Linked DNA regions of Oryctolagus cuniculus. The protein of the gene in region 5 binds, or shares a complex with, the protein of the main gene of each other region. Links are inferred from orthologs where the notes say so. Each region holds a gene or a part of one and is shown on either strand. Other genes may lie near its edges.

Region 1 (5,086 bases), on a different chromosome or scaffold from region 5:
AGGGGGCAGTGGGATGGCGACCTGGAGCAGGTGGTCTCAGCGCCCCCTGCCCGGGTCACCCGCTGCTCCTGAGGTCCCTCGCACCCCACCGTTAGGTTTCAGGAATTCCTGGCTGGGGGGGGGGGGTGGACTTCCTCCCCCACTTCCTTCCAAAATTTGGCCGGTCACCGTTAACTCCTTCCTGCCTTGTCCTCACCCCCCCACACACACTTCACTTGCACACACGCACACACGCACACACGTGTGTACCGGCTGAGCAGTTTCTGTGAAGCGTGGGGTGTGTGTGCATGCGTGTGTGTGTGTGTGTGTGTGTGTGAGAGAGAGAGAGAGAGAGAGAGAGATGGATGGTGGGATGCAAGTTGGATTCTCCCCGTGCCCCCTGAGCCCGTGGAGGGAGCCTCCCACCCAGCCCTGTCTCCGTGGAGGAGGTTTAGGGTGAGGAGGGGCTGGGGGGCCGTGGAGAGCCCCCTGAACCCTTGCACCTGAGCACCTTAGGATGGCAGGATCCGGAGGCTGGTGCGCTCACCGGGCAGGACTGGAAACCCCAGATCCTGTAGGCAGCTGGGTGCTCCTTCCGTCCAGAAGCGCCAGCCTGGAAGTCTTGGCTGTTCTCAGCTTGGAGCTCCAGCTGGGCTGGGGAGCTGCGTAAGCCACACACACCCCCCAGCGGGTGACAGGTGGGGAAACCGAGGCACACTGCCAGTCAGAGAGCCAGGCTCCCCCCCCACACCGCCCTGCCCTGGGGAAGGGGAGCTTCAGGACCCCAAATCCAGAGTGCTGGCCTCCTTTGCTGCCGCTGCCTAGACTTGCTTTGGGGGATCCGGCTTGGCTGCCAGGGAGCGAGGGGTGGGTGCCTGGCGAGAATCCAGAAGGGAGGGTGCAGAGCAAATATTTCTGGAACCTTGCTGCCGAGGTGGGGGCGGGGTGTGTGTGGGTGGGTGGTGGGTGGGTGGGGACTGTTGGTGGGGGTGGAATGGGCGGAGCTTCAGAGGAGGGGGGAGAGAGAAGAGTGCGGGGGAGCGGGGTTTGACACCCGCACCCCCCCACCCTCCCCAGGAAGCCCACTGTTCCCTTGGGACACGGCCTGTAATTTGGTTTGTGTCTAGACAAATAATAACGCGGCCGGTGTGAGCCAGGAGAGCTGGGGCCCCGGCGGAGCTAGGGCTGGGGAAGCAGCCGGGGTGTCTGATGTCCCCTCCCTCCCCAGGTGGTGGGAATCCGGGGTGCAGGTGGCGGGGGCGCCCAGCCGCCCCCTGTCCCCGCCGCCAGGTCTCAGGACTCTGCTCCACCTTGGAAACCGGGCTGCAGGAATTGGAGATGAGAGCAGGTCTCGGGAACAGAGAGCGAGCGAGGGGGGCGCGCCCCGATTCTGTAGAAAAAGGGAAATGCGTGTTTGCGGGGCAGAGATAAAAATCAGTGAGGTTTAATAATAGATCCAGAAAGTCATGGAGTGTTCAAACAAAAAAAAAATCATAGAGCATTCTAACAATAGAACCGGAGAGTCCTGGAATGTGAGACTTTGGAGTATTGAAAACACAGAAGGTTATGCACTTCCAAAGCCCGGGTGGCCACAATAGCAGCACGGAGGGGAGGGAAGGTCTAGAATGCTACAGAACGTTCTATCCTGCAGAACTGGACCGACTATAGAACCTGGAAACGCCTGGAATGTAGAACATCAGGCGGGCACAGGCTGAGGACCCCAGTGTCCCTCTGGGGCAGCGTGGGCAAGGGGGTGGTGGAGACCCATCCCCTCCCCGGGGGTAGAAGTGGGGAAACTGAGGCCCGCAGGGCGGCCAGGGTGGCCTCGCTGCCCCTGGTTTCCGCCGGCTGCCAGGGCAGCAGGTGGGGAGCGCTGGCGGGGCGGTGATCACATTTCATCCCTAATGAACAGACCGGCGCTGGCTGGTCCCCTGGGGCCGCTGGGGAGGGGGCAGCCAGAGCCCACAGAGAGGGGGGAAGGGAGACCACCTGGTGGCTTCAGGCACAGGCCAGCCGGCCGGTGAGTGAGCTGGGGGTGTGGGGTCTGCATCGCTTCCCCCTCTTGTCCTCTCAACCTCCTCCCCCCGCCGTGAGTCCCTCAGCCTTGCTGATCTGGGGGTACCTGCCGGTGCCTAGGGACTTATCTGAGCTGGAGCAGCGGGGGGCCTGCAGAGAGGCGAGGGCTGAACAGTATCTGCCCTTCCTCACCATCGCTTCACACCAGGGCTTATCTCTCTTCCCTGCCCTCTGCAAGGGGCCAGCACCGACCTCAGGGAGGGGGTGGGGGCGGGACCTGCAAGAGGCAGCAGGAACCGACCGCTGACCGCAGGACCTGGGAGACAGGGAGAGCTTCCTGTTGGCTGCCAGATTTGGGGGTTCGCCCCAACAAAGCCCCAGTAAGGAAGTCAGCTTAGAGCCTAACGGCAGAAGGTCCTGCCCCAGGGGCTGGCGGGGGAGGCCAGGGGACGGAGGGACACTGGGTCACTTGCTCTGCTTGTGGTGGCAAGGCCTGCGTTGGCCAGCACGTTCTCACGGGGCCCCCAGAAAGCCGTGGGGGGAAAGAATGGGAGTGCGGGAGGTGGGGAGAAAAGCCGCTGAGGGAGGGGGAGTCTGGGGCTCAGAGGCCACGGCCCCGTCACATGGTATGACTTAGGCAGCTGCTTTGCCGATCGGTTACCCCCGCTGTACCGGGGGAAGGGTCAGACATCGCCTGGCATAATGGCTTTGTAAAGGGCTGACATTCCTTGTCGGCTGCTGGGGGCTCAGTGCCGGGCAGATCTCAGGTTGAGAAGAAGAGGGAGTTGGCAGGGTGCCCTTCCCCCACGCCCAGCATCCCTAAGCAGCAGGTGCACTGGGGGGGGGCGGGGGGAAGGGGCGGGGCTGCGCTGGCTCCCCTGGAGGAAGTTAGCTGTGGGAAGTGTTACTTCCTCTGCCTGGTGTGTACCTGCTCCAGCCGCGCCACAACCCAGGGGACACACGGAGAGGGGTGGGGCGGACGTGATGGCCGGGCCCAGTGCTGGTCTCGGCTCTCCAGGGCCTGCTCATGGGACCACTGTCCAGACACTGCACGTGCGACCAGGGCCTCCGCGGTCTGCGCCCGGTAAAGGTTGTGTGCCCTCCCACGGGAGGGGCAGCTGAGGCCCCGCATCCCAGGAACGAGGAGGGAGAGACCAAGAGGCTATAGAGTGCTGGGGCCCGGAACCAAGTGGAGGAGGATGGGGAGGGGTTCAGCGGGGAGGGGCCGGAGGTGTTTGGAGGTCTGGGCTTGAAGGCAGGGGTCACACACCACCTCACTCTTCCATCGCCAGGACCCGGAGGCCACTGTGGGGTGGGGGTGGGGTGGGGGCGGGGAGCCAGCTGCAGCTGTGTCTGAGGACCCTGCAGCGGGTAGGCGGGGCTTACTGAGGGGGCCTGCCCTGCCCTTTCAAAGTCAGTTATGAAGCGGGGCACATCCTGCAGCCTGCCTCGGCTGCTTCTTTCCTCCGGGGGAGGGGGTCGGGCTGCCCAGTGCTGCCCCTATCCCGGGCCTCTGGCCTCTGCCCTCAATGGCTTCTGTGCATGGTCATTTATTGAACGCCTACTGTATGCTGAGGATTCTGCTGAAGGACCTGAGTGGCCGTTGGGAAAAGCAGAGACGGTACTGCTGCACAGGGCCAGGGCGGAGGGTGGCAGGGGCTCCTGGGACAGGTGCGGGACCCAGGGCTCAGTGTGGAGGTGGAGCGGGGAGGAGACTGGTGTCTGGGGGCTCCCCAGGGACCCCTGTTGTGACCGGAGGCTCATCCCTGTGCCTCTCTGTCCAGCAGACTGAGCCACTGGTTTCTAGCGTTGTGTCCTGCAGGTTCTTTTAATTTTCATTTTATTTGAAAGGCAGAGGGGTTGGCGCTGTGGCGTAGCAGGTAAAGCTGCTGCCTGCAGTGCCGGCATCCATATGGGCGCTGGTTCAAGTCCTGGCTGCTCCACTTCCGATCCATCTCTCTGCTATGGCCTGGGAAAGCAGTGGAGGATGGCCCAAGTGCTTGGGCCCCTGCATTCGTGTGGGAGACCCGGAAGAAGCTCCTGGCTCCTGGCTTCGGATCGGCCCAGCTCCGGCCGTTGAGGCCAATTGGGGAGTGAACCAGCAGATGGGCGACCTCTCTCTCTCTCTCTCTAACTCTGACTTTCAAGTAAATAAATAAATCTTAAAAAAAAAATTAAAAAAAGGCAGAGAGACAGACACAGAGAGAGATCTTCATCCACTGGTTTGCACCCCAAATGCCCACAACAGCCAGGGCTGGGCCAGGTCGAAGCCAGGAGCCGGGCACTCCATCCGGGTCTCCCACGTGAGTGCAGGGGCCCAAGTGCGTGAGCCCTCACCTGCTGCCTCCCAGCAGGGACCCAGAGCTGGGACTCCCTCCAGTCTCGGCCACTGTCTCTGCTCAGCGCCCGCCCTCCCCACCCCCTCTCCCTCAGAGCGCAGGGCGCCTTCCCCTTATTGCCCTCAGCCTGGGTTTCCAGTTAAGATCTTGTTTTAAAAAACAGAGAAAAAGATTTCCCATCCACTGAAAACCAAGCGGGCATGGCTGTGCGGGAGCCTGTGCCGCGGGGTTCGCTGCCCCTCCCTCTGGGGCTGACCGCAGTCGGGGTCTCGGCCCCTGCCTGTCCTCAGAGCTCTGCTTGTAGTTCTCCCCCGACCACGGGTGCCAGGCCCAGGGTTCTGTCCGCGAGGCTGGAGGGGGAGAGGAGGCCCCTCCCTGCTCCTCTGTCCCTCCTCGGCTGCCAGCCCACGGCTCCTCTGGACACAAGCAGGGCGCAGGCTGGAGCGGTCCCCTCCGCCCATCAGCACCCTGGACAGGTCCTGGCCTCAGTTTGTCAAATGGGGCCTCTCCTCTCCTCTTTATGGGATTCTGCAAGGTGCTCATGGGATGATGCCCACCCAGGTGCTGGGAACGGGGTCTGCCAGGGCTGGCGCACGGGGGCCGGAGCATCGCCCTCATCTCCCTGTTGGGAGTGGGGTGCCCTCACACGGCACCCCACAGGCATGTTGGCTATCATGCACCAGCTGAGAACAAAGCAAGGCTGTTTGACGTTGAAGATACAAATGGGTCCCGGCACCAGCCCTGCTGTGTCC
Region 2 (5,019 bases), on a different chromosome or scaffold from region 5:
GTGCGGGCTGTCGGCCAGGCACCGGGCCGTGCCATGGGCTGGACACACAGTGAGCGAGTGGCGAAGGCCGAGGCCTCCCTGCGCGTCGTGTCAGTGGGGAGAGACCGGCAGGAGGCGAGCCGATTGGGAAAGTGAGCACAGGGGGTATCGCACAGCACAAGGGCTGAGGAAGCCTGCTGGAGGCAGGGCAAGGAGGTCGAGGGAGGCCCACAGCCAATCCCAAGTCCCCTGACCCAGGCCCGCCCACGCTTCAGGAAGGACTGCTCTCTCACTGAGCACACGAACCTGCAGCCCAGGGAGCGTGTAGACACCTGGGGCAGGGGCTGCCGAATTCTTCTGCATCAGTTTCTAGTCTGAGTGCAGCCTCTCATTATGTGATAGCAATTTATTGATTAGAAAAATGTGTGTGTGTGTTGGGAGGTTGGTTTGGCCTGTGGGTCAGGCACTGGGGTGCCTGACTGCTCCGCCCCAGGAAGCAGCGGCGATGATAGCAGCCCTGGGTCCCTGCCACCCATGCGGGAGACCTTCCCAGCTTCGGCCTGGCCCTGCCCCAGCCGTGGGCATCTGGGGAGTGAACGGGCCAACGGGAGCTCGCTTTCCCCTTCTGTCTCTCAAAGCAAGCAAGGAATGAAAGACGGCCATGTCTGCTTTGCTCAGTCTTGGAAGTGAGAGAGGCATGGACTTAGCACCTGTTTAATTCATCTCAAGTTAGCGCTGTGGTGCCTGCCTCCTCCCAGGGCAGTCGGAGGGAGGTGGCAGGTGGGCGGTGGACGGGAGGCAAAGATAAAGGCATGAACTGTCCTCCCAGTGCTCACACCCAGGCAACGGGATAAAGGTCGTGGAGTCCATGGGTTTGCAAGTGCCGGGGGTGGGGGGAGAGTTCACAGAAACCTCGGGAACCTGCTGCAGCCCAGGCTATCGGAGAATCTGCAGGGCCCACGGAGGCAGGCGCAAGTTAAAAATAATCACCTTGTGTTCTGACATCAGCGTCTCTCTCCCCCGGGGCGATGCAAGCCATTTTCTTGTCCTCTTTAGGAAGCGTGTGGGTTCGGGACGCTTGGTTCCCATTTAAAGTCAGGACAGTGGAGATAACAGTATCAGCCGGCGTTTACTTTCTGCTTTATAATGATCCTCGCCCAGTGAGGTTTTCTCTTCGTAAGAAATGGCACCATTTATTGAGTGCTACATATTTTCCCAGCTCCACTTCTTTCTCACCCACACTGTCAGAGGCCCGGCTGGAAACAGAGAGGCGCGGTGCTCTGCCCCGCAGCCCAGTGCAGGGGGGAGGGTGTCGGTGTCGGTGCTGAGAGCCGGGTGCGGCGGAGCATGGGAAGCACCCGCAGCTGGGGAGGGGCAGGCTGCATGTGGAGTCATTCGGATAAACTGTGCGTCGTGGGCAAACGGAGGCCCAGCTGGCTGAGGTCGGATGCTATCACGTTGGGTGCTGTGGTGGGGGTACGTGATCACGCGGGACATCCCGTAAAAGCGGCCCATCACACACCCGACTTCTGAAAGGGTTAAGGCTGAGGCTCGGTGTGGCAGCCGTGGCGCTGTGTTTATTCCCACTTTGGCCCATAGATCTCCTGGTGTCTCACTCTGGGCGCCCGGGGCGTGGGTGGAAACAGAGTTCACAGTTTGATTTACACTTTGTGTTTCATATCTATGCTGACTTTGAGGGTGCCGACTGGAAGGCGTCTTTCTCCCCCCCCCCCTCTCTCCCACACACACACACACACATACACACACGTCGGTTTGGTCTGCTTCTGACCCTGCAGATCTTCCCGGTTGTTCCTAACAGGCTGGTGTTAGGACCCAGGAAGACGCAGCAGCGACAGGCCGGGTGTGAACGGAGAGCCCGAAGTTTGAGGAGAGCCTCTGACATCACTCACTGCTCTCCACCCGCAGGGGACGCGGTGCGTGCTCAGCCGGAGCCAGGGCCAGCCCAGGGCGGGCAGGAGCTCCGGGGCGCACGGCTGCGCGCGGCGTCTTCTCTCCCGCACTGCAAGCACAAGAGGAAAGTCCGGTCGCAGACCTGGACAGGGGCCAAGGAAGCTCTTGAAATACGCGGCAGAGGCTGACGGCCGGGGCTGCCTGCTGGCTCGGGACAGCCTGCCCGGGGCTGCGAGCCGACTGGGGTTTCTCCTCCCTGCATCGCGTTCCGCGGGGGCCCTGCCAGCTGCCATGTGTTTATCGATCACTGAGGAATTCCAAGTTTGCAGACCAGGAAGGAACACCCATTAGCACTCTCGGCAGCTGCAACGCACACACTGAGGAAGACTCCGACCCTGCTGCTTCTGAACCCGTGAGAAGGCGCCTTTCCCAGGGAAGTGAAAGCTGAAGGGGCCGCTCCCGGATCTCAGGGACACCCCCAGGCGCCCGGAACTCAGGGACGCCCCCAGGCCCCCGGAGCCGCCCGGAACTCAGGGACGCCCCCAGGCCCCCGGAGCCGAGGGAACCATGAGGAGGCTGCTGTCTCTGGGCTGCTGGCTGCTGCCGCTCTGCTGCAACCTCCAGGTAGGTCCTGGGGCTCTCCTGGGATCGGCCGGGACGCTGCCGGCTGCCGCGTGTCCCGGGTGTGTCTCATGCTGTGGTCTTCTGCGTGCAGGTGCATGGCGCCGACTCCAGGATCCAGGACCATCCAGGTGAGAGTTTCCTCCGTGCTCTCTTGCTTGCTGTGGGCACCCTGTTTCTCTCGAGGGGCTCCGCGCAGGCCCTTGGTGGGCTGCCCGTCTCGCTGGCCCTCCACAGCCGTGGGTGGGGAGCAGGTCTCCTGTCCAGCCGACTCTTGCTTGGGTCGTGAGAACAAAGTCTTTCGATGAAGCAAATGCGCTCCTTTGGGGTTGAACATTTTCTGTCTCCTTCGACTCGCGTCTCGCATCTTCAGTGACAGACAAATGCTGCAGCCCCCCTTCCCCCCCCCTCCCCCACCAGGTGCTGGTTCACTCCGTCCCTGATGTCTCCTCGGTGGGGGGGATTTCTCCTCCGTGCCTGCACCTGGCACGGAGGGAGCACCCTCACTCCAGACAGAGCCTCTTATCTTTTGTTTTGTTTTAAAGATCTTATTTATGTAAAAGGCAGTTAGAGATAGAGACAGAGAGCGACCTCCCATCTGCTGGTTCACTCCTCAAATGGCCACAACGGCTGGAGCTAGGCCAGGCCAAAACCAGCAGTCTGGAGCTCCATCTGGGTCCCCACGTGGGTGCAGGGGCCCAAGTACTAGGGTTGTCTTCCGCTGCTTTCCCAGGCCATTAGCAGGAAGCTGGACAAGAAGTGGAGCAGCTGGGACTTGAACTGGTGCCCCTGTGGGATGCCGGAGTTGCAGGCGGCAGCTTTACGTGTTGCACAATGGCACAGGCTCGGAGCCTCTTGGCCACTGTGGCTGCTCAGCGTTGTAGTGTCGGGGCCAGGTGTGTCCTTGGTGGGTGTGTGGGGTGCATATCTGGTGGGAAGGGGGGAGGTGCCAGTGAGTGGCAGGAACCCGCTGCCGGCTAATGCCACGCATGTCTGCTGCTGGAGGATGTGTGGTGGTGAGACCTCTGCCGGGCTCTAAGCCTCGGCTGGCCCGCTGGTGACCTGCTGTCTCTCCTCCGAGCAGCCCTGCCCCCCTTTCCAAGGACTCACCTTCAGACACGCCAGGCCCGGCCAGCCCTGGGGGCCCCAGTGCAGGTGCGACCTGAGCTCCCAGGAAGCCCTGCTCTGAGCAAGCGCCCGTGACACACGGGTGTCAGCGGGGGGGAGGGGAGGGGGCTCTCGGCTTTGCTCTCCCTGCTGAGTGTCGCGGCGCAGGACGGAGCAGTCACTGTCACGGCCTCCGTGTGCCAGCCACGGCGCTGGGACGCGGCCTCTGCTCCCCATGTGAACTTCCGCTGTGCTCCTGATGTCCCTTGTCTGAAGGTGTGGATGCTGTGGTGGCCCTGCGTCCTCCTTTCTTCAGCCAGAAAATCCAAAGAAAGCAAGCAGGGTGTCCGTGGCCTGGGGCTGAGAAAGGCAGAGGCTGCCCGTGCCTCGCAACTCCTGTTCTCCCGCCCAGCCTCGCCTGCAGCTCACGCTGGTTCCGCTGGAGGAGTGACGGGAGACGGGGAGCAGGGGCTCTCCTCGGGCAGCGGTTGCAGAGCAGGGAGCTCAGGCAGAGCTGGCATGTCCCGGAGCCACAGAACCAGCCGCTCACAAGGGCAGCCACGCGTGGCAAAGGAGCGCTGGGGCTCTTCTCAGACTTTGCCTTGTGAGACAGCATTTACATGTGTTCTCATGCATCCACACAGTTCAGAGCCCACAGGTGTCCAGCCACATCCACCCATATGCGTCCACATATGTCCTCAGAGTCCACAACCCCCACATGCACTCACACATCCAACATGTGCCCACAGACATCCACATGTGTCCACACACGTCCAACATGTGCCCACACATGTCCACATGTGTTCACACAGTCCACATGTGCCCACACAGTCCACACACGTCCACATGTGTCCACACACGTCCACACACATCCACATGTGTCCACACAGTCCACATACATCCACATGTGTCCAGAGTCCATCCACATCCCCCATACGTGTCCACATATGTCATCAGAGTCCACACCCCCCACATGCACGCACACGTCCAACATGTGCCCACACATGTCTACATTTGTTCACACAGTCCACATGTGCCCACACAGTCCACACACATACACATGTGTCCATGGAGTCCATCCACATCCACCCATACATGTCCACATATGTCCTCAGAGTCCACACCCCCCACATGCACACACATGTCCAACATGTGCCCACACACGTCCACATGTGTTCACACAGTCCACATGTGCCCAGTCCACACACATACACATGTGTCCATGGAGTCCATCCACATCCACTCATATGCATCCACATATGTCCTCAGAGTCCACACACCCCACATGCACTCACACGTCCAACATGTGCCCACACATGTCTACATGTACCCACACACATCTACATGCACTCACATCCACACAGTCCACACATATCCACCTGTGCACAGACATGTCCACAC
Region 3 (4,311 bases), on a different chromosome or scaffold from region 5:
CCAGGCACAGCACCACCCCACAGGCTGCTGCTCTCAGGCTCTCTCTCTGGGCCTCCCGCAGCCCGGAGCAGGCGCTGAAATCACAGGAGGGCCAGCAGCCACCAGAACAGGCCGCGCAGTGCAGAACACAGGGACAGAGGAAGGCCACTTCCCAAGGCCACGGCAGAGCACAGCGGGGCGGAGGGAAGGTGGGGTTTTCCAGGGAGGAGAACCTGAGCCACACAAGCCAGCCTGGAGCGGAGAGGAAACAGCAGAGTGGAGTGGGCCAGGTGAGCGCAGACCCGCGCACAGGCCACGCCTGGCCTGCTCATCTGACTCCTCCTCCTCGTGTTGCTCGCTACAAAGTACAGCAAATGAGTCCGGGCGACCTTCCCAGACAAGAGAGCCTCGGTGACGTAGCCGGCACGGGCTGCCGCCGTGGCCTGTGCCTACCTGGAGTCCGTGCCCCAGTGCATGGCGTAAATCTTCGCCAGGTGCCCCCTCAGCGTTCTCCTGGTGCGCATCTGGATCCTCCCCACCGGGTCGATGTTGTTTGTGATCTTAAACACGAAGGTTCCTGAGGTTAACATCTGTGACCACACGATCTTCCCAGAGCCCTCCTCCTCACCCACCCAGCAGGGCCCAGCCATCCTCCAGCTCTTCAGGGGCACCAGGGCCCTCGGGACTCTGAACAGGGCTGCCGTTTCCACGGGGCGTGAGGACACACCTGTCCCCCTGGCGTGCACACACACGGCAGCCCGGCTCCGCCTCTGTCTCAGGGCCCGGGGCCACCACGGGCACAGCCTCCAGCTCCGCCCATCTGTCTCAGGGCCCGGGGCCACCACGGGCACAGCCTCCAGCAGCTAGTGCTCTGCTCCTACCTCAGGCCACGTGTGGGCCTGGACAACACTCAGCATCGGTGTCTGCACGCCAGCACCCACCCCACAGGGCAGACACCGACAGCAATGCCTCCAGGTTGGCAAATGGGCAAAGCACACCCAACAATGAGTCTTAAAAAATGGACAGTCCACAGTGCGCCCGAGAACTGACAGCTGTGATTCTACGCTGCAAGAATTCCTTCTTACAGCGCATCCCCTTCAGTGTCTGGATCGCCTCATGAACCAAGTCACCTGCAGAGGGTGAATCTAACTTTTCTTTCACTATTCTGTCCGATTCTTTAACTTTTTAAAACTCTGTTACAGTGCCCACTCAGGGCATGCTGTGCAGCCCTCACCACTGCTCGCCTCCCCACCCACCCAGCGGCCACCTCCTCCTCTCGCCCCCACGATCCCTGCAGCCACCAATCTCCTGTCTTTAACTTAACCATTCTGGGTATTTCATACACACAGAGCTACACGTGGCTGCATTCCCTTTCACGGCTGAGTAATATCCCACCGTGCAAACACACCACCACACGTTTGTACGCTCATCCACTTATGGAGAGCTGGATGGTCTCCTCCCTTGGCTGTGTGAGCGGCGATATGAACACTGTACAGCCATCCTCCTTTAACTGGTTTCGCTATGCATGGCTCAGTTTCCTGTGGTCAATCGCAGTCTGAAACTATTACATAGGACATTTCAGATACGGACAATTCCTAAGTTTAAGTTGTGAGCCGTCTGAGCAGGAGGATGACATCCACTCCGGCCTGCTGGTCCTGTCTGGGGTGTGGTCAGCCCTCGGCCCGTGGGACCGCGCTGTGCCCACTGTGGTCACCCAAGCTGCGTCCCAGCCCCGTGTCGTCTGCCTCACTGCATCTCCTCGCACAGGCGTTGTTGTCACAAGTGTGAGTACAGGAAGATTAATTTTTTGAGACAGATCATATGCACAGATTTCCTGCAGTGTTGTTTTTATGATATTCCATTATTAGTCCGCAGCGATGCCCTCTGTAGGGTCTGTGTACACGAGGCTTCAGACACCCACGGGTTTCGGTGTGCGTATCCTACTGAACACCCGCTTGAACGCCGGCTTTTGATCCTTTTGGGCACACAAGGAGCCATGGAGCTGCCGTTCAAGTGTCTGGGGAGCTGTCAGGCCGGCCTGCGGAGTCCAGTTCTTGGACCGACTGGCCACGAAGGCAGCGACACGCCGCCTGACTGAGACAGCAGTCTTCTGCCCTGGCAGGGAGCACTACGCGGGCTGAAGAGACGACGCGAACACAGAACCCCTGTCTCCTCCCACGTCTGGACGGCTCCGCAAGACAGTGCCCCGCAGTGGTCTGGCAGCTGCACGGGCAGAGCTCACTGCGGAGGGCCCAGGCTCACACCGGCTCTTACCTGAGAGAGCGTTGCATCTGCACATGCTTTCCTAGCATCCTAGGAAGCAACACAAGAGAGGTGAGCGGTGTCCAGGCAGGGGCCACCTGGGGCCTCACAGCGTCACTGTGGAAGGAAAGCACCCCCCCCCCAACACCCACCATCCACCGCACTCGGCCACTCACACACAGCGACCGTGGAACCCGGCACGGGGACGGCACCAGGGCAGGGCCCCTGGGCGCGGGGCTGCCCTGGCCTTCGGCGCTTCTGAGCAACCACGCTGGCTCAGCGCCTGCACAGCTGACCCAGGGAGGACGGGAGGCTGGCGCCCAGGGAGAGCGGTCCAGCAAGGACCTAATGACCAGCCCAAAAATCTCTTCGGGACAATAATTACTTTGTTGGATTTAAATTTCACAGAAAAGAGCAAGGCGTCTGATCAGACTGCAGATTCAGATGAAACCTTCTGACTTCTTCCTGGCTCTATCTGCTTTCTTATCTACGAAACGACGAAATGCAGGTACACTCTGCGGAAGGACACGCCATCACTAACATCAAGTGAACAAGGAACTAGACAAGTGTGGAATCTTAAATGAACATATATTTTTATAAATAGGGAGATATAGGGAGCTGGCGCTATGGTGTAGCAGGTAAAGCCACCACCTGCAGTGTCAGATCCCACGTAGACGTGGGTTTGAGTTCTGGCTGTTCGGCTGTTCCACTCCCGATCCAGCTCTCTGCTGGGCCCCTGCACCCATGTGGGAGACCTGGAAGAAGCTCCTGGCTCCTGGCTTTGCATCAGCCCAGCTTCGGCCGTTGGAGCCATTTGGGGAGTGAATCAGCGGATAGAAGACCTCTCTCTCTCTCTCTCTGCCTCTTGTAACCCTGCCTTTCACATAAATAAATAAATCTTAAAAAATAAAAATAAAAAAGCAATATGTAAAAGAGAACTTCAAAAATCAACAGAAAAATGGAACTGAAAGATAAGCTAATTTGGGCACAATATTTTGAAACCCAGGCGTGATTTTATAGTACATATATTCTATGAATTTCCTGAAGACCTCTGTACACTAGATGCAGTAAAATGAGAACACAGCTTTAAAGGCTCACAACAGGAGTGTGGGCAGCCCCTCAGAGGCACTCAGGGCGATGTCCAGTAAGACACAGGTCTCCATGCTGCTGTGAGCTGACACTGCAGCTGGGTGTTCCCAGGAGATCCGATTTTAGGGGCAAACTTCCCTACTGTAAATTTTTATTTTATGAAGCCAGTGGGGATATCTGTGAATTAATAATATAAAGAAACTATTGGCCGGCGCTGTGGCTCACTTGGCTAATCCTCCACCTGCGGCGCCGGCACCCCGGGTTCTAGTCCCGGTCGGGGCGCCAGATTCTGTCCCAGTTGCTCCTCTTCCAGTCCAGCTCTCTGCTGTGGCCCGGGAAGGCAGTGGAGGTTGCCCAAGTGTTTGGGCCCTGCACCCGCATGGGAAACCAGGAGGAAGCACCTGGGTCCCGGCTTCGGATCGGCGCAGCGCCGGCCACAGCAGCCATTTAGGGGGTGAACCAACGGAAGGAAGACCTTTCTCTCTGTCTCTCTCTCTCTCTCTCACTGTCTAACTCTGCCTGTCAAAAAAAAAAAAAAAAAAAAAGTCCAAACCACACTAGAGTTTAAGACAGCACCTTCAGAGTCAACACAAATGGCTGCCTCAGTGGGTGCCCGTCGTGGTGCGGGGGTCAGACGCTGTGTGGGCCCACGTCCCACAGCCAGCTGCCAGGTCAAGTCTCATATCCTGCTCCTGACCAGCTCCCTGCTAGCACGCCTGGGAGGCAGACAATCGCCAAGAACGTAGGGCCCTGCCCCCCACGCGGGAAACCCAGATGGAGCTCCCAGCCGCAGTCTGGCCAAGCCCTGTGGGGAAGCTCTGCTGCTCGGCTTTTTTTTTTTTTTTTTCCTAAGATTTATCGATTTTATTCCAAAGGCAAAGTTACAGAGAGAGAGGAAGAGACACAGAAACTGAGAGATTTCCAACTGCTGGTTCACTCTCCAAATGGTCGCAACGGCCAGAGCTGGGCCAACCCAAAGCC
Region 4 (5,089 bases), on a different chromosome or scaffold from region 5:
CACACTGCAGCAGCACTGCCCGCACGGCGCCGCCGACCTGCACCCCATCGGCTTCCACGTCTTTCAGGCAGGCTGCGCGCCCGGGCAGGGCCGGGGGTGGGGGGCCGCAGGCGCCTGGGTCAGGATGGCCGGCTGCTCGCAGGGAAGGCGTACCCCCAGCCCTTGCAAAGTCCATGTCCACCACGTCAGCCCAGCAGCCACGCCCCCTCGGCAGGTCCCCAGGCCCGGGGCGGAGGCCCAGCTGGCTCGTGCCCTGGGGAGTGGGTGCTGGCTGGGTTCCGGGAGAGTAGGACAGGGCAGGCCCAGGCTTGGCCGATCTGGCCACACGGTGGACAGCCCGCCCGCTGCCGGGTGCCACCATGGCCTTGTGTTCAGATCGGACACAAAGCCAGGCAGGTAGAGACACCTGACGCTGTGGGCGACAGGGCCAGGGCCAGGCAGGAGGAGAGGACCTCAGCCGGGTCCTCAATGGCAAAGGTCCAGCCCCTGAAGGTGAGCCCGTGCTGCCCAGGCGGCTGCCGAGGGCTCCGGAGCCCCGCCTGCTCCGCTCAGTGGAGCTCGGGAGAAAGCTCCGTGCCCAGGAGCCCGGGGAGGCGCTTTCTGGCCGACGCTTGGGCAGGGGTTGGGTTTTCAAACGAAGCCCCTGGTGACGCAGCTCCTTGAGCTTGGACACTGCTAGTGGGGGCCTCTGGGGAGGGCTGAGTCGGGGCCCGAGAGTCCCTCAGCAAACGGGGTGGGTGAGGAGGGAGCAGGCTGCCCCGGCCTCTCGGAGCCTCTGGGCAGGGAGGGAGGAGGGCAGCCCTCCGTGGCGGCCACAGCCCGCTGAGCGCGTGCCGGCCTCCCCAGGTGGCAGACAGCGGGGGCCGGGGCTCCCCCCCTCTGCTGCTCCAGGAGCCGCTGCTGAGCTGTGTGCCGCACCGCTGCGCCCAGGAAGTGAGCCGGCTCTGCCTTCTGTCTGCCGGCGCCTACCGGGTGGTGCCCTCCACCTACCTGCCCGACGCAGAGGGGGCCTTCACGGTGACCATAGCAACCAGGATAGACAGGTGGGGCCCTCAGCGTTCGCCCCGTCCCTGCCTGTCCTGCCGAGAGCAGAGGTGGAGGGACCCTGTGCCTGCGGGCTTCTGGGAGGGGTGACTGGCGCTGTCTCCGCAGGCGGTCCATCCACAGTCAGGAGACGCTGGGGCAGCACCTCCAGGAGGTGCGTATGTGGCTCCCAGCCCCGCCCGCCCCCGGCCCCCGGCCCCGGCCCTGTCCCCGCGCTGGCGTGCGAGGGGCGGGCAGCAAGCAGCTGTCCCCTCACAGGTGTCCTTTATGGCTGTGATGAAGGCCTAGCTGGACGCCGGCCGTGATGAAGGCCCCACTGGACGCCGGCTACAGAGTTGGGCCCGAGGCAGCTGCCGCCCAGCAGCGGGGGACCTGCACCTGTGCCACCGCCGCGGGGCTGTGGCGGCCGTGGCTGAGCCGCGGTGCCTCTGGCCCACACGGACCCAGGTGAAGCACGCGGCCCTGGGTGGAGCAGGGGCTGCAGGCAGTCCATCCCCGGAGCCTGCCCAGGGCTGCCCGGGAGCCGCGGCAGTTAGCAGGGCCGGGGCCAGGTGCTAACCCTGTTTGTCATTTGGACATTTTTAAGACGTAACTTTATAAATAAACATGAACGAGTACTTGCTGTTGGAGATGCTCAGTGCCCAGAGCTCAGTCCACCGCCCACCCAGCCCCTGTGGGGCGCGACTGACGGCGACCCTGGCCAGTGAGTGGGGAGAGAAGAGCTTGGAGGGGCGGGCACAGGGCAGACCCCGGGGCAGAGTGGGAAGGGCAGCTCGGCAGGACCCGTGAGGCAGGTGGCACCTGCTATCCTGGCTCCGCTGGCCCCAGGCCTCAGACCCTGTGGTCACTCCAGGCCTCTGTTCCCATGAGAGGCTGAGCCCTCCGCACCCCGGCAGCTCCACGCCAGCCTCCAGGCGCCCCTCCCCCCACCCCGCCTCCCCAGGCGCCCATCCCCCACCCTGCCCCAGCGCCCCAGCTCTGCCATCTGCAGGACTGGCCGAGGCTTTGTCAGTTGCAAAACCCTGCTGCAGGCGGCTGTGGCCACACCCTGGGGAGAGGAGCTGCTGCCCGGGCTGGGCCCCTCCCTCCATGGTGCCTTAGCAGGCAGGGGCTCCGCGTGGGCTCTGAGACAGCTGGGGCACGGCGTTCGCGGGCCCGCGCTTGTGCGGGGGGAGGGCAGAGGAAGCCGTCCGTGCCTGGGACATGGCACCCCGTGCTCCTCACGGGGCAGACAGAACGCCGGGAGCTGGCTCTGCCTGCGCTGCCAGGATGGCACCTCCTTGGGGATCCGGGCAGCGCATGCCAAGTCCACAGCAAGGGCTGGGCTGGTCACCACACTGTGCCGTGGCAGCCCCAAGGTGTCCCTGTCCGCGCTAGGCCCTGGGCCAGGCTGCCAGTCAGCAGGCGTATACCGCATGTTCCAGACCCTGCCCCCCGCCGAGGCCCTGCTCCTGTGGTGGGAGGCACAGATGCAGCTCCTTGCCCCTGACTTGGGAGGGAGACCCCAGAGGCTCCGACGTGGCATGCCGGATCCAGGTGTGACCTGTGTGGCCACCACGTCCTCCAGCTCCATCAGCCCTGGGCGCCCTCCTGGGCTGGCTGTGTCCTGGGTGATGGCAGAGGCTGGGGTGCCACAGGGGGCCTCCGACCTTCCTGGCAGGTGCCCCCACAACTGCCACACGCCAGCAACCTGAGGCCTAGAGACGGCTCCACCTGGGAGTCCTCCAGGCCCCGCCCTGCGGGCGCCACGTGGGGTGAGGCCCTGCCCGCGGCGTCGGAGACCCCTGTTTTGCTTTGCTGTCTAGGGGGGGTTGTGCTCCAGGATCTGCCCACTTCGGCCTGGCTGCTGTCAGCCCCCAGCGCCCCCGTGGGCCCTCAGCCTCACCACTGTTACCACCATCGCCTCCTGGCTTTTGGTGAACCAAGCCAGCCACCCCACCCCCGGCCTCTGCTCCTCAGGGGTCAGCTGGCCACGTCCTGGCAGATCGGGTCTCACCATCAGCGGCTGCCGGTTACCTGGTGGGCACAGCCCTGCTGGCCTGGCCGTGTGGGACCAGGGCCTCCTCTGGAAGCGTCTTCCCCACGCTGCCCGGGCCCCGCGGGCTCCGAATCCTGCATTTCCTGGCACTGCCTCGGTTTCAGCCCCTGGTCGTGGTGCGTGCCCCCCCCCCCCCTGCCCCCGTGCCCTCCTCCCTGGAGACACTGACACTTCTGGGGCAGGGCCAGGGCCGTGGCTCCCTGTGGAAGAGCAGAGTCGGCCCAGCCACAGCCTCCCCTGTCCAGAGTCCCAGCTGAGGCCCTGGCCTGGACGTGAGCGTGCGGCTGGGGCCTTGGAGACGGCCTGGCCTCCTCTGCCCTCCAGCAGAGACCTCGTGGGTGGATGACCACCTGCTGGGTCATCCCAGCCGGTGTCCACTTACCACATGGCCCAACGTCCTCCTGACCCAGGCAGAGGCTGGGGGAGGGGCAGAGCAGGCCGGCCAGGGTGCTCTTTCCCAGCGTGGTTTCCTTGGCAAAGGGTTCCTCCCAGCAGTGGGTGTCTGGACTGTGGCCCTGGGACTGTCCACAGGGAGAGCCTGGGCCGCGTGTGGGAGACGGGTAGGAGCCAGGTGCTGCTGGCTTTGTCGTGTGAGCCTCCCCAGTGGGGCCCTGGCGCACTCGTGGTGCAGCTCTGCTCCAGGGTGGAGGCCGCCTCGACCCCGCGTCCCCACGCAGCTCAGAGCCCAGCACCCCGCCCATCACCACCCGTGAGACGGTGCACCTGTCCTGAGCCACTGCTGGCCCACCGAGCCCCTCCCTCCCCTGGGGGCGGCTCCCTGAGGACACGCCCTCTCTGCCCCGCCGCTGCTCCCTGGCCCTCTGCCATCTGTCAATCAGTCTTCCATTTTCCGCTTGTTTCTGCGAGGCTGATGGTTTACAAACGGAGACAGCCCCCAGTTTCCTCACCCATTGGGATCCTCAGCTCTTCCGCGGGGGCGCGGGCCGTCCTCTCGCTGTGTCCTCTTGCAGGGCTGAGCAGTCCTCCGGGGTCGCTTTAAGCGGGCACAATCCCATGAGTGAGGGCTGCGCCTCCCAAAGCCGCCTCCTCACACCGCCGCCTTGGCTTTAACTGGGTCTCGGGCACACAGCGCCCCCAAGCCTGCGCCCGCCCTTCCAGACATGAATAGAAGCTGCTGACCATGGCCCCAACCCCCAGCCCTGGGCAGGGCACCCAGAACTCCAGAACACGCGCAGGCCGTGATGTCCGGGCTGGGTCCCTGACCACACCATGGCCCGCCATGGCAGCCGTGGGGTGGGGCCACCTCCTCGCTTGACACCTGGGGGAGGGGTGGGGGAGAGCTGCGCATGGCCCTGGAGGACCTGGCCGTGCAGGTGGGGCCGTGCCTTCCCTGGCCTCCTGCAGACTTTGCCCCGCGCCAACCCCAGGGCTACTTCCTGGCCTTGCCTCTCCCCCGCCTGGCTCAGCCTCAGGGTCAGCAGCGCTTCCGGTGAGTACGCAGGGCTTGGCAGCAGGTGTGAGGGGCAGCTGGGAGCTCAGACCGAGGCAGCAGCCGCCCGCCGGCCAAGCTGGGACCCCCACCCCAGCCACTCCTCCCCCACCCCAGCACCGCCCCAGCCTGGGCTGGGACTGGCAGGCGCTGACAGGACTGGCAGACTGAGGCTCTGTCTGTTCCACCCAGGCCGGGGCCCCGTGACGCTGGGACCCTGTCTCACTGCCGACTACAACCACGTATGTGTGGGGCCGAGACTCAAGGCCGCCCTGTCCCCAGGGCCGCCCACACCCAGGTAATCAGTCTCCCAGTGAGGCCGTGGGCGGCGCGGGGGGTGGAAGGCAGGGGCCTTTGTGCCATTTGACGGTCCTGGGTCTTGTCTCCTGGGCAAGAAGGCTCTCTGACCACCGTGTGTTTGCAGTGTCTCCCTGCCTGGGGACCGGGGCTGGGGCTGGGGCAGAGGCCGGGGTGGGGGTGGGGGCACTCGGCAACAGCCCCAGCAGGAGGAGACATACATGATTTGGTGCTTGGGTTTTGTTAAATTGCTAGTGGAG
Region 5 (4,924 bases):
AGGCTTCCCTTCTCTCTCTGCTGAGCTCACATTGGCACCCAGAGTGCATGCTGAGAGAGTGCTCAGCCAGAGCTGTGTCCTTGTCCTGGGCAAGGGGCTGCAACTGCAGGGTGAGAGAGCAGGGTCTCCCCAGCAGAAGCTGGGATTAGAGAAACATCTGCCATTCAGCGTACATTTTGCCTGACAGTACTACCCAGTGATTCTTTTTTTTGGGGGGTAGTGGTGGGGGGTGGGGATACTCTCATCTGCTGGTTCACTTCCAAAATGCCCGTAATGGCAGAGAGTGGGCTGAAGCCAGGCACCAGGAATGGATCCCAAATCTCCCATATCAGTGGTAGGAAACCAATTTCTTTATTGGTCTGCACTAGCAGGAAGCTGGAGATGAGTTTGGAACCCAGGCACTCTGCTATGGGATGCAGGATGTCTCAGCTGCCAGGCTTGGTGGCTCGGGCCCTGACAACCCACATCTCCAGGAGGGGCGCTCCCCTGCCTGTGGACAGGTAGCCCACGGCCTGGCCAAGGCAGCAGGAGACAGCCCTACTACTACAGGCATTGTGGCCAACGGGCTGAATCATCAGGCCTGCCGGTGACTAACTCAACCCCTGACACTCGGCCACGCGCACTGACGTGGACGCTGAAACCTGTCCTTAGAGTGCTGACCTTTCCCCCGAACTGCCTAGCGCACAGGAATCCGAGTGACAGGAGCCCAAACCAAGGAGTCTCACGTCGCATTGCCAAAACACAGACACACCGGCCGTGGCCTTTGCCACCTGAAACCGAATACTAAGAACGAAGAGGCCGGCTTCTGGGGGCCAAGCCCGGCTGTCACTCGCAGCCCTTTCAGGTGCCTTGGCCTGAATCTGCTGCTGCTGGGAGGATTAAAAATTAAAAAAAAAAAAAAAAAAAAAAAAAAAAAAAGCCCCCTGGCTGGTCACATCCTCTGCACGGCGGCAGGAAACCTAAAGGGTGCCTGCTCCGTCCTCGGCCTGCCTGCTTATCTGCTTCCTCGCGGGGAAGAGTCTGCATCAGTGTCCGGTGCAGGGGGATTTTCACCATGACCTCACCCTGCTCGCCATGCGCGGACTCGGGGCCGAGCGCGGCCGCCGTCGCCGCCCCGGGGAGACGCCGGCCACCCCGCCGCTGCGGCCACACGGGCCTCGCCTCAGTGCTGTCAGCTCTGACCCAGGGCCCCGGTGAGGAGCAGGGGCGCGGTAGCCGACGGCGTCGGGTCATCGCCCCGGGCAGGGGAAGCGCCTCCTCGCGTCGGGGGCGTGACGCTAAGAAACGCCCCCCAAAACTTTCCACGCCCGTGCCGGCTGCGGGAACGAGTTTCAAGCTAATGGCCTCGCGCTAGAGCGCGCGGAGGGTGACAGCAGCTGGGCAGCGCCCGGGACCTGAGTCTTCCGCCTCCGCGATTCCGGGAAACTGCCCCGGAGTCGCACGGCCCCGGAAAGTCCAGCTCCGCGGGCGCGCGCCAGGCCGGCCCACGTGACCACGGCTCCGCGAGCCGCGCGCGCGCGCACGCGAGCGAGCGAGCGGGACGGCGAGCGCGTGACTCGGCGGCCCTGGGCGGGAGGCGGCGTGCGTGCGTGCGCGTGCCCTGCGAGGCCGCGGGCGCGCGCACGCCCCCGGGGCCGCCGCCCCTCCCGGGCCCGCCCTCCTTCCCTCCCTCCCCGGTTCGCCTAGCCCGCCCTGCCCGGCCCGCCCTGCGAGTCAGTTCTCTGGTTCCCTCCCTCCCCGGGCGCGCTCGGGCCGCCGCAGCGCTCCCCGCCCTCGAGCCGCGGTGCCGGAGCCGCCCGCCGCCCGCGGAGGAGGTGGAGGGAGCCGGAGGGGCCCGCCGAGGCGGCGGCGGCGGCGGCAAGATGGCGGACTTCCTGCCGTCGCGGTCCGTGCTGTCCGTGTGCTTTCCCGGCTGCGTGCTGACGAGCGGGGAGGCCGAGCAGCAGCGCAAGTCCAAGGAGATCGACAAATGCCTGTCCCGGGAGAAGACCTACGTGAAGCGGCTCGTGAAGATCCTGCTGCTGGGCGCGGGCGAGAGCGGCAAGTCCACTTTCCTGAAGCAGATGCGGATCATCCACGGGCAGGACTTCGACCAGCGCGCGCGCGAGGAGTTCCGCGCCACCATCTACAGCAACGTGATCAAAGGTGCCGGGCCGGGGACCGGGGGACGCGGGGGACGCGGGGACGCGGGGCGGCGGGCGGGCGTGCGCGGGGCCGGACCCCGCCCTCGTCCGCTCGGGACCCGGCCGAGGACCGGGGCGCGCCCCGGGCTCGGGTTCTGCCCGCCGGCTGTGCCCTCGGCCGCTTAGGGGCGGGGGCGCCCCGCTTTCCCCCTGGCCGCCCGAGGAGAGGGTCGCGGCCGGCCCCCCGCCCCCAGCCCGGCCGCTGGCTTCGCCGCGTCCGAGAGGGAAGTGAGGCGAGCCGGGTGCCACGGGGTGCGGGGTGGCCTCTGCCCTCGTCCTCCCTGCAGACGGGGCCGCACACCCCGCCCCAGCCGCCTCTCGCCGGCCCCGGGGGTCGGGTGACCCGAGCCGCCGAAGGTCGGGGGCGCTCCCGGCTTGCTGGGCTGCCCCCGGAGCGAGTTCTGGACCCGGCGCAGTCGGGAAACTCTTGCCTCGGACTCTCGTCCTAGGGCATAGAGGGACAGCCCCTGGGGCTTTGGGGGGGCCGGGATGTGAAGCTGGAGGGTGTCACCTGTTGGTCCTGGCTGCAGGAAAGAGTAGACCCATACCTTTGGTCTAACATGATGCGCGTCCGTGGGTTCTCGCCCCAGCGCTCCGGTGCGCCGCGGTGGGCGCCTGTAATCGCTTGTTGCTGAATAGCTGGGGAGGGAGTGGGGTCCCCATCCTGCCTTTTCTGTCGAAGTTGTGTTGTGCTAAGAAGGCTCTCTGGCCTGAAAGTAACGCGGGTGCTGGCCAGGGGAAGTCAGTGACTTACTGTTGGGTGGGATGATAGGCTCCACTCCTTTTTGACGGGCGTTTTGAAATTGAACTTTGTTCCTAAGTGAAACAGACACGAGATCTTTATTTGGGAGGCGTTCAAGGAGATCGGGAATTTAGCTGCTGTTTTGTCGTTGGAAACGTCACGAGCTCGCCTTTTTCTTAGTGTCAGGCATTTTCCACGCTTGGAGGGACTGCGCCTGTCACTTGGCTCAGGTGCATCTGTCGCCTGCTGTGTGGAGAGCAGGTTATCCAGGAGTTTGCAGGGCTTTTGTCCAGGAAGTACAGAAGCAACTCCCTCAGCTCACTTTTTTCCCCTCCCAGAGTTCGTGTAGAGGCAGACGGCACAGAGAGGGAGGCATTGTGGGGTAGTGGCTGGAGAACGCGGGCCGGAGCTCACGCACACAGCCAGCTCTCAGCCCTGGTGCCTCTGCAGTTAGACTGTAAAGAACAGTCGTGTTGAGCCTGCCTCAGTGTTTGGCACAAAACTAAAATCTCTTTCAAGGCCGCAGACTGCCTGGCAGGTCCTTAATTGAAGGTGGCTTTGTATTGTGATGCAGCCGAATGTAGAGGAATTAGGATAATGATTAGAGTCAGCATGATAACTGATTCTGGCTCTTCAGACGTCTGGGTCCTACAGGTGACCTACTTTGAGCATTGATGATGAGGTGATGTTAAGTCATCTCCTCTAGTCAGCTAGGCATTTCGTTTTATTTTTGAGCTAGCATGCTCAGGAAATTGACAGCCAAACAGCTCCTGGATTATCCAAACAAATGACTTGCTAATAGCCATGTGACTGGCAGGGTGGCCCAGAGGTAACAGTTTCCTGAGGGATGTGAGTTTGACCTAGCCTCTGAGTTGAAGTCTGTTTCTAGGTCATTCTGCAATTGGCCCTCCACCCTTTTAGGGGAGCTGTAAGACCCCTGAGCCTCATACTCGTTTGAGTGTGGTCTGGGAGAAGTTTTTGAGTTTTGAATGTATTCCTAGAAGACTCAGGGAAAGAACTGAACGCAGAGCTGTAGTGTTGGTTCTTAGTATTAAGTAAAGTAAGTGTCTTAGACAGCCTCATGAACCAGTGCTTGCAGCCGTCATCTTCACAGCTTGGACACTGGGCAGTGCAGCGTCAGTTCTTTTTCTCCTCTACTTTAGTTTTCCTTTGACCACTGTCTACCCCAGAAGTTACTTTATAAATTGCAACATGTGAGAGGCCCGCAGAAAGAGCAATTGTGTTCTTAGTATTTACTTTTCAAGGCTCTAATTTTGCAACCTTGAGCAACTGCTTTCCATAGCTGGGGAGATACTGGGGTTTGTTTTGGTGTTGGTCTCTATTTTTGGAGGAGGAGGGCTGCAGTAGTTAAGTTTAAGGAAATAATATTGGAATGAAAACTTAGGATAGTATCTCACGATTCTTCCCCATTCCCGTTTTTCTTTTTGAACATAGGTATGAGAGTGCTGGTGGATGCTCGAGAGAAGCTTCACATTCCTTGGGGAGATAATGCAAACCAACTGCATGGAGACAAGATGATGGCTTTTGACACCCGGGCCCGTGCGGTGTCCCAGGGAGCGGTGGAGACGCGGGTTTTTTTGCAATACCTTCCAGCTATAAGAGCGTTATGGGCAGATAGTGGCATACAGAATGCTTATGACCGGCGTCGAGAATTTCAACTGGTAAGAGCTTTTTTTTTAAATTGTGGTTTTATTTTAAAGATATCTAATAATGCCTACTGTTAGCACACTTTTTTCACTGACTTCCACAGTATAATTTGCCCCTAAAATGTGGAAATGTAGCATCAGGTCTTTGGATTGCTGTATGATGAACTTTTTAGTAAGTAAGCTAAGAATGAGGTTAACTTATTGTTTGTTTGTTTTTTTGTTTTTGAAAGTAAAGTCATGATGATTTTCTTAGGCATTTCTAATTTTGCTCTCGCCAAAAATAATTTCCTCCCAATTATGGTGATAATATCCTTTGAAATAGATTTTCCATC
Region 6 (3,852 bases), on a different chromosome or scaffold from region 5:
CAATAGGCACGTCGCTCAGTGTGCTGGGATTGAAAAGGAGCCAATCAAGGTGCAGGCTGTTTCCGGTCCGACGGCGGCGGCCCACGCGCGGAGCAGCCTGGGCCAAGGCAGCCCCGGGGCCGGCTGCGGCGGGCAGAGGGCACCAGGGCAGCTCGGGGCCCTGTCCAGCCAGGAAACAAGGGGGCCTCTGTTGGCGATCAGGGCGGGGCAGCTGTCCCCGAGGACGTGCACAAGCCCTTCTCTGTTCCCAAACTAGGACGGATGTCCCTCCGCCTTAGGGGGGCAGATGCCTCCCTGGGGCCGGGGACCAGGACGCCCCTCGGAGCGGGTGGCCGGGGACAGGGACGGCGGGGCAACCCCGGAAGCCCCCCATCACTCCCGGGCTCTCTGGGAACGGCCGAACCAGCCTTTTTCTGGAACAGAGCTTCTAGCCCGCACGTGGTCCTCCCAGGCCGGGTTCCAGGGACGGGAATGGCTCTTCCCTGCCGCCGGCCCCCCTCCTTCCTCAGCTAAGGCTTGGAGCTTCCTCCTTGTGGGGGGGGCTCCTCGACACCCCTGCGCCCTCCCCTGCCCCAAGCTAGTCACGGGGTCTGCATCTTCCCGCTCCCTCCCCCCACCTTTCAGCTTTCCTTGAAGGTGTTGGGGGGGGCAGTGACTCAGTGTTTCATGGAAACAAATGCCTGGCCCCCTCCCCGCGGGGCTGCACGCCCCCTCACGGCTCACATGACTACAGCAGCAGCTGCCGCATCGCGCCTGGTCCAGGACCTCCCAGACTGGTCTCTGGTGGCGCCCCCCTGCCCCATCCAACTCCACCCCCCCAAGCCTTTCCCACACCGGATGTGACTTGGGAGCTGAGAACTCCACCCTGTTTGTTCCAGGGGCCTCACATCTGGATTTCATCCTGTGGGGAGGGGGTGCCAACGCCCTGCCCGCCCTTCCTGGGGCCCTCCTGTCCCTGGGCAGAGCCGGATGGTGCTGGTGAGAACTGGCTGCTGGGGCTGTGGTTGGCCTCCTCAGCACCCCATCCCTAGAGACTGGGTGAGGGGCACCCAGTCCTACATGGGAAGAGGAAAGCCAATGACGTCAGCTAATACTTGCTGAGCGCTTAGGAGGCGTCCACAGTGTCTCCTTAGTCATTTTCCTCTAAGTCTTGAGAAATGGGTTTTTTTTCTCCCATTGCTGCATGGATGAGGCTGTCCGGGGCAGAGGCTGGAGTGAATTGCATGGCCTCCGAGGTCCGTGGCCTCCAAGATGATGTGACCTCGGTGATGCTGGAGTCTTGGGGCCGCCCTGTGTCTCCCCAAGACCTTATCTGGGAAGCGCACACAGCCTCAAGGCTTCGACTCAGCCTGCAGTCCCCAGGCAGTGGCGGGTGCTATCGGCAGCCCGGATCTGGCTGACCTGGGTCAGCAGAGGCAGCACGCGGCCCAAGGCTGCCGTGTGTGCTGGGGAAGAGAAACAATCGTTGGGAGGCCCTGGAAGGCCACTTTGTACCCTCTGTGCCACTTGGGGGAGCTCGCCCTGACTCAGGCCGCTCCTTATGCAGGAGTCCCGCCCCCACCAGCCTGTCCCATGCCTGGGGGCGGGGGTAGCTTGAGACCCTGGGGAGGGGTGGTGACCAGCCCGAGACTCCGCGTGCGCGCAGCGTGGTGGAGCCAGACCTTGAACTTGAGCCCTCCGCGCGGCGGCCGCCAGGGCTCTGACTTGTCGGTCTCTCTCTTTCTCCGTCCTCTGCAGCTGTGACAGCCTCATGGGCTCGGCCGGCCGCTGAGCCCCACCATGGGCAACTTGTACTCTGAGTACCTGAATCCCAGCAAGGTCCTGGAGCACTATAACTACACCAAGGAGACGCTGGACACCCAGGAGACGCCCTCACGCCAGGTGGCCTCGGCGGTCATCGTCGTCCTGTGCTGCGCCATCGTCCTGGAGAACCTACTGGTCCTCATCGCCGTGGCTCGGAACAGCAAGTTCCACTCGGCCATGTACCTGTTCCTGGGCAACCTGGCTGCCTCCGACCTCCTGGCCGGCGTGGCCTTCGTGGCCAACACCCTGCTGTCCGGCTCCGTCACGCTGGGGCTGACCCCCGTGCAGTGGTTCGCCCGCGAGGGCTCCGCCTTCATCACCCTCTCCGCCTCCGTCTTCAGCCTCCTGGCCATCGCCATCGAGCGGCAGGTGGCCATCGCCAAGGTCAAGCTCTACGGCAGCGACAAGAGCTGCCGCATGCTGCTGCTCATCGGCGCCTCGTGGTTCATCTCGCTGGTCCTCGGCGGCCTGCCCATCCTCGGCTGGAACTGCCTGGGCCAGCTGGAGGCGTGCTCCACCGTCCTGCCGCTCTACGCCAAAGCCTACGTCCTCTGTGTCGTGACCATCTTCTCCGTCATCCTGCTGGCCATCGTGGCGCTGTACGTGCGCATCTACTGCGTGGTCCGCTCCAGCCACGCCGACGTGGCCGGCCCGCAGACGCTGGCCTTGCTCAAGACCGTCACCATCGTCTTGGGCGTCTTCATCGTGTGCTGGCTACCGGCCTTTAGCATCCTCCTCCTGGACTACGCCTGTCCCGTCCGGGCCTGTCCGGTCCTCTACAAGGCCCAGTACTTCTTTGCCTTTGCCACCCTCAACTCGCTGCTCAACCCCGTCATCTACACGTGGCGCAGCCGGGACCTGCGGCGGGAGGTGCTGCGGCCGCTGCAATGCTGGCGGCGGGCGGCCGGGGTGCCGGGCCGGCGGCGGAGCGGGACCCCGGGCCACCACCTCCTGCCACTCCGCAGCTCCAGCTCCCTGGAGAGGGGCGTGCACATGCCCACGTCGCCCACGTATTTGGAGGGCAACACGGTGGTCTGAGGGGGCCGCCTTGGGTGACCTCAGACAGAAACTGGGCGAGGGGGGCTGCCAGATAAGCCACGCCCCTTGCGCCCCTCCCTCCCACATTGCAGACTCCCGCACAACATTTGGCAGGTGGCGGCTCTGCAGGTGGTGTCCTGGAGTGCGACCCCAGGGTGGGGGAAGGACCCGTACAGGGCCAGGGTGACAGCAGGCGGGCGCACGGTTCACCACTCGGTACGGAGGATTTCAACATTTCCCAACCGTTGGAGCGGCCCCCGTGTGCAGCAGCTCCCCTGTCTGGATCTCCCCCTCCCGCCACTCCTTTGCAGCCGCTGTCCCCAGGACTCGCGGGAGCTCCCTGGATGTCGCTAGCTGCCACTTCTTCCCTTTCCCCTCCGATGCCACTGGGTATGTGGCGTTGGCGGGGAGGGGACCGGGGGCTATGCCTCATTCCCTGTTCTCAGACCTCATTGGTTCGTTTGCACTATCTGGGGTGCAGAAGAATTACCAAGGGCTGGAAAAACCAGTTTGAAGAGGCTTTGGAGGGCTTCGGGCCTCTGGGCGGGGTAGGGTGGAACTTGAGAAGAATCGGGGAGGGGAGGGAGATGTTTGTACAGGACCCTCACCCCCAAACAGCCACCCCCACCCCCGCAGGTGCCCACCTCCACACCTTCCACCCAACCCAGGTACCAGATCCCCCAAAGGCAGGGCAGCCTTGAGCCCGCTGTGCCTCCTTGCAAGGGGGTGGGGTCATGGCCAAGGATGCCTCCTGGGGGCGCTGTTCCCCTCTCCTGCCGCGGCAGGACTTGGCTAAATCCTGTGGATGGATGGAAGGGACGTTGCGGTACAAATATATTTATGTGCGTCCGTGTGTGTGTGTGTGTGTGTGTGTACACACGTGTGTGCGTGTGCCTGTGCATGGCATCTGTGACCTCGCCCCGCCACGTGTCCCCGCAGCGTGGATGCTGTCCCGTCTCCCCGCCGTGTCCATGTCCCTGATACAGCTGCCAAAGCAAGGGGTCTGGCCCT

What was found.
Region 1: the proteins of GNA13 (region 5) and GPR4 are in contact, whole or in part, in a cryo-EM structure (PDB 9JHP), measured with the Homo sapiens proteins. The link is inferred for Oryctolagus cuniculus from reciprocal best matches to the Homo sapiens genes GNA13 and GPR4. Residues at the interface, in NP_006563.2 of Homo sapiens: Arg47, Pro341, Tyr343, Phe359, Lys363, Asp364, Ile366, Leu367, His368, Asn370, Leu371, Lys372, Gln373, Leu374, Met375, Leu376, Gln377; in NP_005273.1 of Homo sapiens: Gln45, Asn50, Arg115, Ala118, Val119, Ala120, Pro122, Leu123, Ala126, Ile204, Val208, Ser211, Val212, Ser213, Thr214, Glu218, Lys221, Ile222, Leu225, Asn290, Glu291, Gly292, Ala293.
Region 2: the proteins of GNA13 (region 5) and ADGRD1 are in contact, whole or in part, in a cryo-EM structure (PDB 9V0U), measured with the Homo sapiens proteins. The link is inferred for Oryctolagus cuniculus from reciprocal best matches to the Homo sapiens genes GNA13 and ADGRD1. Residues at the interface, in NP_006563.2 of Homo sapiens: Val49, Val216, Phe218, Phe359, Val362, Lys363, Asp364, Ile366, Leu367, His368, Asn370, Leu371, Gln373, Leu374, Met375; in NP_942122.2 of Homo sapiens: Asn599, Arg601, Leu657, Met660, Val661, Ile662, Val664, Phe665, Ser667, Val737, Ile738, Ile741, Ala761, Val764, Asn810.
Region 3: the proteins of GNA13 (region 5) and GNB1 are in contact, whole or in part, in a cryo-EM structure (PDB 8H8J), measured with the Homo sapiens proteins. The link is inferred for Oryctolagus cuniculus from reciprocal best matches to the Homo sapiens genes GNA13 and GNB1. Residues at the interface, in NP_006563.2 of Homo sapiens: Ser31, Ile34, Asp35, Leu38, Glu41, Lys42, Val45, Lys50, Gly205, Ile206, Glu208, Lys219, Val221, Lys231, Arg232, Trp233, Phe234, Glu235, Cys236, Phe237, Asp238, Ser239, Val240, Arg279; in NP_001269468.1 of Homo sapiens: Gly53, Leu55, Lys57, Tyr59, Gln75, Asp76, Lys78, Ile80, Thr87, Asn88, Lys89, Val90, His91, Ala92, Ser98, Trp99, Met101, Leu117, Asp118, Asn119, Tyr145, Asp186, Met188, Asp228, Arg314, Trp332.
Region 4: the proteins of GNA13 (region 5) and GPR35 are in contact, whole or in part, in a cryo-EM structure (PDB 8H8J), measured with the Homo sapiens proteins. The link is inferred for Oryctolagus cuniculus from reciprocal best matches to the Homo sapiens genes GNA13 and GPR35. Residues at the interface, in NP_006563.2 of Homo sapiens: Lys46, Arg47, Leu48, Val49, Lys214, Asn215, Val216, Phe218, Arg331, Gln337, Gln338, Lys340, Pro341, Leu342, Tyr343, Phe359, Arg360, Asp361, Lys363, Asp364, Ile366, Leu367, His368, Asn370, Leu371, Lys372, Gln373, Leu374, Met375, Leu376; in NP_005292.2 of Homo sapiens: Phe45, Gln51, Thr53, Thr55, Met59, Asp113, Arg114, Ala117, Val118, Pro121, Leu122, Arg123, Arg125, Arg128, Ala197, Leu198, Arg201, Pro202, Thr204, Asp205, Gly207, Gln208, Ala211, Ala215, Met218, Val219, Ala280, Lys281, Glu282.
Region 6: the proteins of GNA13 (region 5) and S1PR2 are in contact, whole or in part, in a cryo-EM structure (PDB 7T6B), measured with the Homo sapiens proteins. The link is inferred for Oryctolagus cuniculus from reciprocal best matches to the Homo sapiens genes GNA13 and S1PR2. Residues at the interface, in NP_006563.2 of Homo sapiens: Arg47, Val216, Phe359, Lys363, Asp364, Ile366, Leu367, His368, Asp369, Asn370, Leu371, Gln373, Leu374, Met375, Leu376, Gln377; in NP_004221.3 of Homo sapiens: Ser66, Met68, Tyr69, Leu72, Arg130, Ala133, Ile134, Lys136, Val137, Lys138, Leu139, Tyr140, Tyr209, Ile212, Val216, Ser219, Gln227, Thr228, Leu231, Leu232, Val235, Tyr288.

The regions. Positions count from the first base shown.
Region 1 is NC_091449.1:11,334,746-11,339,831, forward strand, and holds the start of GPR4 (G-protein coupled receptor 4), read left to right. Parts: upstream 1-1,877; 5' UTR 1,878-1,883; coding exon 1,884-1,999; exon of another isoform or gene 2,000-3,307; intron 3,308-5,086. UniProt on the Homo sapiens protein: Proton-sensing G-protein coupled receptor activated by extracellular pH, which is required to monitor pH changes and generate adaptive reactions. Activated by an optimal pH of 6.8-7.2.
Region 2 is NC_091452.1:1,766,166-1,771,184, reverse strand, and holds the start of ADGRD1 (adhesion G-protein coupled receptor D1), read left to right. Parts: upstream 1-1,983; 5' UTR 1,984-2,457; coding exon 2,458-2,514; intron 2,515-2,605; coding exon 2,606-2,642; intron 2,643-5,019. UniProt on the Homo sapiens protein: Adhesion G-protein coupled receptor (aGPCR) for androgen hormone 5alpha-dihydrotestosterone (5alpha-DHT), also named 17beta-hydroxy-5alpha-androstan-3-one, the most potent hormone among androgens. Also activated by methenolone drug.
Region 3 is NC_091438.1:163,949,543-163,953,853, reverse strand, and holds part of GNB1 (guanine nucleotide-binding protein G(I)/G(S)/G(T) subunit beta-1), read right to left. Parts: intron 2,293-4,311; coding exon 2,254-2,292; intron 540-2,253; coding exon 433-539; intron 1-432. UniProt on the Homo sapiens protein: Guanine nucleotide-binding proteins (G proteins) are involved as a modulator or transducer in various transmembrane signaling systems.
Region 4 is NC_091434.1:847,796-852,884, reverse strand, and holds the start of GPR35 (G-protein coupled receptor 35), read left to right. Parts: upstream 1-2,019; 5' UTR 2,020-4,312; coding exon 4,313-4,532; intron 4,533-5,089. Other genes in the region: CAPN10 (calpain-10), read left to right, coding at 1-67, 847-1,043, 1,153-1,198, 1,303-1,332. UniProt on the Homo sapiens protein: G-protein coupled receptor that binds to several ligands including the tryptophan metabolite kynurenic acid (KYNA), lysophosphatidic acid (LPA) or 5-hydroxyindoleacetic acid (5-HIAA) with high affinity, leading to rapid and transient activation of numerous intracellular signaling pathways.
Region 5 is NC_091448.1:11,458,365-11,463,288, reverse strand, and holds the start of GNA13 (guanine nucleotide-binding protein subunit alpha-13), read left to right. Parts: upstream 1-1,633; 5' UTR 1,634-1,862; coding exon 1,863-2,145; intron 2,146-2,731; exon of another isoform or gene 2,732-3,613; intron 3,614-4,380; coding exon 4,381-4,607; intron 4,608-4,924. UniProt on the Homo sapiens protein: Guanine nucleotide-binding proteins (G proteins) are involved as modulators or transducers in various transmembrane signaling systems.
Region 6 is NC_091447.1:67,121,817-67,125,668, forward strand, and holds S1PR2 (sphingosine 1-phosphate receptor 2), read left to right. Parts: upstream 1-1,779; coding exon 1,780-2,841; downstream 2,842-3,852. UniProt on the Homo sapiens protein: Receptor for the lysosphingolipid sphingosine 1-phosphate (S1P). S1P is a bioactive lysophospholipid that elicits diverse physiological effects on most types of cells and tissues.